2 linked regions of the Macaca fascicularis genome follow. Each later gene encodes a partner of the first gene's protein in a complex. Links are inferred from orthologs where the notes say so. Each region holds a gene or a part of one and is shown on either strand. Other genes may lie near its edges.

Region 1 (3,010 bases):
TAATCTGAAATAAAGGAGAACTGGCATAAATATACTGGGTTTCAACAGTCTTTACTGTAAAAAATGCCCATGGCATTTAGAAAAATAATAAGTGGACAAGAGAATACATTACTTTTGAAGTTACTAAATATGCTCTTCAACAGAAGAATTTCAGGGCAATCTTTTCTGAGGAAGAGGGTTTAGGGTAATAAACAGGATTTCAGGGTCGGGCGCGGTGCCTCAAGCCTATAATCCCAGCACTTTGGGAGGCCGAGACGAGCAGATCACAAGGTCAGGAAATCGAGACCATCCTGGCTAACACGGTGAAACCCCATTTCTACTAAAAAATACAAAAAAAACTAGCCGGGCGAAGTGGCGGGCGCCTGTAGTCCCAGCTACTCGGGAGGCTGAGGCAGGAGAATGGCGTAAACCCAGGAGGCGGAGCTTGCAGTGAGCTGAGATTGCACCACTGCACTCCAGCCTGGGTGACAGAGCGAGACTCTGTCTCAAAAAAAAAAAATAAATAAATAAATAACAAGAGGATTTCAGGATGCCAGAGCTAGAAGGCACCTTAAAGAAGGAGGAACCATGAGGCGGCCCTGTCATGTGACAGATATGCACAGTGAGGGTCAGTGCACTGAGCTGAACTTTGCACAGCCACTTAGCTGCTGCCGGGAACAAGACACACAAGGCTCTCTATACACCATTACCGTGTCCTGCCTCTGTTTTCATCACTTTTTTTTTTTTTTTTTTTTTTTGAGACGGAGTTTCACTCTTGTTGCCCAGGCCGGAGTGCAGTGGCGCGATCTCAGCTCACCGCAACCTCTGCCTCCCGAGTTGAAGCGATTCTCCTGCCTCAGCCTCCTGAGTAGCTGGGATTACAGGAGCACGACACCACGCTTGGCTAATTTTTGTATTTTTTTAGTAGAGGCAGGGTTTCACCATGTTGGCCAGGCTGGTCTCAAACTCCTGACCTCAGATAATCCACCTGCCTTGGCCTCCCAAATTGTTGGGATTACAGGCATGAGCCACTGCACCTGGACCTTTCATGACTTTTAAGTGGAACTTCCATAGTATAATCATGGGAGCAATAACTGTATAGCTAAAGAGCATTCTCTGTAAATAAAAGTACACTCTGCATTGACACTAACCTGTAATATCAATGTTCATTTTTTTCTATTACTATTATGTTTTTGTAATAGTACATTGGTTCTCTTTCCGTGAGCGCTAGTCAATAAATTTATTTCTAAACTTATTTCTAAATTTTGAATGAAGTTGGGCATATACCCAACGACCAATTAAACTTTGGAATACATATAGTTTGGATGTTTGTCCCTGCCCAAATCTCATGTTGAATTGTAATCCACAATGCTAGAGGTGGGGCCTGGTGGGAGGTATTTGGATCATGGGGGCTGATCCCTCATGGCTTTGTGTTTTCTTTGTGATAGTGAGTTCTCGCAAGATCTGATCATTTAAAAGTGTGTGGCACCTCCCCCAACCCCACTCTCTCTCTCTCCTGCTCCTACTTTTACCATGTGATGTGCCTGCTCCTGCTTCGCCATCTAGCAGGATAATAAGCCTCCTGAAGCTTCCCCAGAAGCAGATGCCGCTATGCTTCCTGTGAAGTCTGCAGAACTATGAGCCAATTAAACCTCTTTTCTTCATAAATTACCCAGCCCAGGTATTTCTTTATAGCAATGCAAAACAGCCTAAATCAGATCCTAAAAGGGACTCCAGCACAGAGTTTTTGCAAAAGAATGCATTTAAGAAACTTTATTCAAAAATGCCCATGCATTCACTAAAATATGTTTAAAAGAACATCTAAATATTGTTAAAAGTCTGTTCCAACCAGAAGGTTCAGGTGTCCTATATGAAATAGCTAACTTGTAACTACGGTTTGGGTATCCTGGCAGAATCATTTATAACTTGATACAGTCTCTTATCAAGGTGATTTTTATGGTACCCCTTTCTTAAATATTTAAGCTAAAAGAAAGACTTCAACAAATCAAACAAGATACAAATAGCACTTTAAAAGGAATCATGGGGGAAAAGGAAAATGGAGGCCCTTTATAACTTCAACTTCAAGACATAAGTATAGTCTGTAAACCTCTCCAGTTTACTGAACTCACAATTCTGGGTTCCATGCTGCCACTTATTTCTTAACGTGACATCAGCTGTACCCATCTTTCTGCACACTGGGTGATTAAATACCATATCCTTAAGCTAGGTGTTTAAAGGGATGCCTTCTTAGAGACAAATTCCCTAAATGTAAACATTTCATAGAAAAAAATTAGATTTCAGATATTAGTGGGAGCCATTTAAATGTTTCCTGTTGATTTCCTAAGGTTACAATGCCTTTGCCAAATGTAAGTTATTCTATATAAACTAACATAACAGAGTCACATGTGACAGTAATACCCTTTAATTTATAACATTTCCTCATTATAGACATTTTCTATTCTTTGGAAAGTACTTAAGTGGGAAGGAAAGTCTGTTGAGAAAAAGAGTAGGATAATACACTCAGTCTGACATCACTTGATTACTTACAAGGTAGCCTTCCGTGGTTGTGTATCTTTACTTCCACTGCTCTTGGGATCAACTGAGTTACCTGTCCCACGGGAAGTACTTGGTAAGGGAGTATTAGGAGAAAAGGAAGGTGGAACACTACTGGCATTACGAGTCCGGAATGAATCATCTGAAAGTAATACATATAAAGTCAGATATATCAAATATACTAAGAAAGAGGGTAACCAAAGAGAAGAAAAGGTTAATGATAGCTGACTTTTTCACTTTTTAAGTCAATTTTATGAGGGTAAAATTTACATACAACAAACCGCAAGAAGTTAAGGTTTTGACATATGTACACCCCCATGAAGTCATCACCACAATCAAGATGTGAGCATGTCTATCACTATGAAACAGTCCCTCATACCCCATCATGATCCTCCTCCGCCCTCTCCAAACCACTCCTGTCAACTATAAAATAGTTTGTATTGTCTAGAATTTTATATAAATGAACATACAGTATATA
Region 2 (3,916 bases), on another chromosome or scaffold:
TGTTTCCCTAGCTGAAATGGAGGATGGCCGGGTGCGGTGGCTCACACCTGTAATCCCAGCACTTTGGGAGGCCCGAGGCAGGAGGATGGTTTGAGCCCAGGGGTTCGAAGTGACAGTGAGTTATGATAGCCCCACGGACTCCAGCCTGAGCGACAGAGAGAGACCCTGTCTCTAATTTAGGAAAAAGAAAGTTGCCGGGCGCGGTGGCTCAAGCCTGTAATCCCACCACTTTGGGAGGCCGAGACGGGTGGATCACGAGGTCAGGAGATCGAGACCATCCTGGCTAACACGGTGAAACCCCGTCTCTACTAAAAAATGCTAAAAACTAGCCGGGCGAGGTGGTGGGCGCCTGTAGTCCCAGCTACTCGGGAGGCTGAGGCCGGAGAATGGCGTGAACCCGGAAGGCGGAGCTTGCAGTGAGCTGAGATCCGGCCACTGCACTCCAGCCTGGGCGACAGAGGAGACTCTGTCTCAAAAAAAAAAAAAAAAAAAAAGAAAGTTGTGGCCGGGCGCGGTGCCTAACGGCTGTAATCCCAACACTTTGGGAGGCGAAGGGGGGGCGGGGGCGGATCACCTGAGGTACGCAGTTCGAGACCAGTCTGACCAACAAGAAGAAACCACGTCTCTGTTAAAAATACAAAATTAGCCCGGCGTGGTGGCGCATGCCTGTAACCCCAGCTACTAAGGAGGTTGAGGCAGGAGGATTGCTTGAACCCGGGAGGCGGAGGTTGCGGTGAGCCGAGATCGTGCCATTGCACTCCCGCCTGGGCAAGAGCAAAACTCCGCCTCAAAAAGAAAGAAAGAAAGCTGTTAAAACATTTGTATAAAATGAAAGGGGAGGTGACTGTTCTAGGGTTTCTAACAGCCTCCACATCGCCCAGCAACAGAGCCCACAAAACTGCCCCTGGCCGCCACCGGGATCCTCCAGCTTCTTCCCCATCTGCGGTTGGGGAAGTGGTGCAGCGGTCGCTGCGAAGGAGGGAGAGGAGCGTGTATGACGCCACATCCGGCGCGCGGCGGAACTGGCTTCCCTTTGCTTCCGCGGCGGGGCCGGAAGTAGAAGCGGCGGCGGCGGTGGCTGCGGCCCAAAGCGGAGTGAAAGAGGGAGGCAGGGAGCCGGAGAGCCGGAACCGGAGTCGCAGCGGCGGTAATATTGCCAGACTCCTCTAAGTCACCGTCCTTAGCGCGGGACCGCGGGGTTCGACGGGAGTTAGCGGGGTTGCGGCCGCGCCGTGGGACGCTGGGGGGTCCTGAGGCCGATGTGAGGGGAGGCGGGGGTGGGGGAGCCGGGCCGGCTCTAGAATCGAGTTGTCCGCCCCGCGCCCCGCACGGACACTCTGATCCGCGGGCTCGTCTTGGCCTTTCCCAGGAGACCCCTGTGCGGTGCGGAGGGGGCGGCGGCCCCGACTCTGACCCGCGCCGGGGGTGGGCCATGGCGGAGATCAGCGACCTGGACCGGCAGATCGAGCAGCTGCGTCGCTGCGAGCTCATCAAGGAGAGCGAAGTCAAGGCCCTGTGCGCTAAAGCCAGGTGAGCCCATTGGCCCTGGGGAAGGGAGGCCAAGCCGCCGCCCACGGGTTCTGTCCTGGGGCAAACCCAACTGAGAACTTTGGGCTTGCCTCGCCCTGGAAGCTTTCCCAGAGAGGAGCAGGATGGAACCGCTGCCCTCGAGGAAAAGCTAGCCTGCTCGGGGAAGACAGAGCGGATAAAGACACTTAAAGTATTAGACGATGTGTTTCCAGTAGAGTAAGAATGTTACGTAAAGTACTTAGGAAACTCAAGGAAACAAGTCCATCTGTCGGGGGTCGGAAGCTTGTTGGAGGGGGGCCGAACTGTGGGACAGTCCTCGAATAAGGAGGTGGTAAAAGAGCCAAAAATCAAAGATTTAAGACAGGAAAGTTAAAGACCCTGTGATTTATAAAAGTCCTTTAATTACAACAACCCTTAAAGGTTGGTGGTATTGTACTCATTTTACAGGTGAGAACTTTCATGTTAAAAGTTACCCACAAGTAGGGAATGAGGATCGGAAGCCAGCTCTTAGTGTCCCGTCCTTTTTCAGGCCATAATGCAAAAAGGTGTGGAGTTGGATTACTCACGTTCAGGGTGGGAGCCTGAGAAATCGTAGCAAGTAAGCTAGGGTAAAATTAAGCATGATAGGGAGGGAGGCCAGTTCAGAGTTCTGTGGGAAGTAGGATGAAGCAGTGGTTAAGGCTCTGGGTTTTGCAGTGTGAGATGGCTCTAGGTTTGAATCTGAACTCTGCCACTTTCTAGCTGTGTTAGTGATCTTAAGGTGTCTTTATTTGTAAAGCGGAGTTAATAGTACTTAATAAGATGGTTGTGAAGGTTCAGTGAGTTGGTGCTTGAGATGAGGTTAGCACAGTGTCTTGGTACAGCATACGTGCTTGATAATCACCAGGTATTCTATTTCTCTTGGAAGAGGGCAATAATGAGATGGGTTAAAGCCATCAGGGAAGGCTTTTGAGTGGAGGTAGGCCTTGAAGGATGAAGATAATTTGGCTAGCTGATGGAGGCAGGGCCAGTGAGGGAAGGGCATTCCAAGCAGAACGAATGTAACAGTGGAGGCCCTGAGATGTATGGGGAACAGTCAGGGGTTTAATTATTACCTGCCTCCTCTGGGGCACTGTGTGATTGTGGCTTCTACCAGGCTGGAGAATTGTGGCAGAAGAACCCGCAGAATTACCCTATGTTTATTGAACAATAAACATTGGCCTTTATAGGGCCACTGTTGGCCTGGCCCTGTACTGGTAAAAAAACTTTTGTCCATCTCTTCCCCCCAGCAATCCTGTGAGGTTGGAATCATTTGTTCCATTTTATCACACAGGAAGCCATGACTCGTAGAGGTCTGGTGACTTGACTGAGGTCACCCACTGAGGACGTGGCAGAGCTGGGTCCTGAATCTGTGGCCCTCAGGCTCTTTGCTTGGCCCTGCCCCACATAGACTCCCTGCAGCCAGACAGGGCCTGTGAGGGGATGTTGAGCAGGGTCGGCCTCTTTTTCACCACCCGTCTGTGGCTTTTCTCTTTTGCCAGCTCAAGAAAATGTCCCTGACCAGACTAGCCCCACGGTGTTTTTAGTTTTTCCCTCTCCCTCAGTCCTGATTGGCATTTTTAGGAACTTATACCTGTTATTGCGTGGCTCTGTTCTTTAACCCTGAAGTCTTATCTCCGTCACAGGCCCTGAATCAGCGTGGTGGTGATGGTAGGCAAAGCTTGGATAGCATGCTGGAGTTTGCAGAATAGCAGGAAGTTATGTATTCAGTCTCCATGGCTCCTTGCAACAGCCTAAGGAATAGGCAGGGCGGGCTGAGTATTTAGCCCCATTTCATAGCAGAGGAAACTGAGCCTCTGAGTAGATAATGTCTTGTCCAACTCACGCAGCTAGTCGGAGGGGAAGTTAGTTTTGCATCCAGGTCTTTGACTGTGCTCCGTGGTCACTGAGAACCAGGCAGAGGCATTTAGGTTTTGATGTGTGGTGTGAGGCAGCAGGGAGCCATGGAAGACTGAGGGGTGGAGGGTCCTGCCCAGTTGAAACTGAGTGAAACTAGGAGGTACTAGGCCAAGGCTCAGTCTGAAGCGGGGCCCGCTCTGATACCTGGTTATGGCCTCCTGGGGACCCAACAGAGACCCAGGCTGAGGCTGGTAGTGTCAAGAGCACCAGCTTGCCCAGAGGGCACAGAGATGCAGGTGAAACCCGTGGAAACACAGAGGTCCGCAGTGTCTGAGCTGAAATTGCTGCTCCTAGAAATACTAGCACAGAAGAGCTGAGCTTTTGAATCAGGTGGTCTTCAGTATGAATCTTTGCCTTGTCACCTAGAAAGAATATGACCCTTGTCAAGTCACTTTCTGATTTTTTGAAATGATAATGACATGCAGTTGAGAGTCCGGGTATCTGGGCA

The links.
Region 2: PPP4R4 (region 1) and PPP4C share a complex: the UniProt entries of both Homo sapiens proteins name them as parts of the PP4 complex. The link is inferred for Macaca fascicularis from reciprocal best matches to the Homo sapiens genes PPP4R4 and PPP4C.

Annotation. Positions count from the first base shown.
Region 1 is NC_088381.1:162,302,592-162,305,601, reverse strand, and holds part of PPP4R4 (serine/threonine-protein phosphatase 4 regulatory subunit 4), read right to left. Parts: intron 2,675-3,010; coding exon 2,527-2,674; intron 1-2,526. UniProt on the Homo sapiens protein: Putative regulatory subunit of serine/threonine-protein phosphatase 4.
Region 2 is NC_088394.1:28,019,834-28,023,749, reverse strand, and holds the start of PPP4C (serine/threonine-protein phosphatase 4 catalytic subunit), read left to right. Parts: upstream 1-1,058; 5' UTR 1,059-1,147; intron 1,148-1,369; 5' UTR 1,370-1,432; coding exon 1,433-1,530; intron 1,531-3,916. UniProt on the Homo sapiens protein: Protein phosphatase that is involved in many processes such as microtubule organization at centrosomes, maturation of spliceosomal snRNPs, apoptosis, DNA repair, tumor necrosis factor (TNF)-alpha signaling, activation of c-Jun N-terminal kinase MAPK8, regulation of histone acetylation, DNA damage checkpoint signaling, NF-kappa-B activation and cell migration.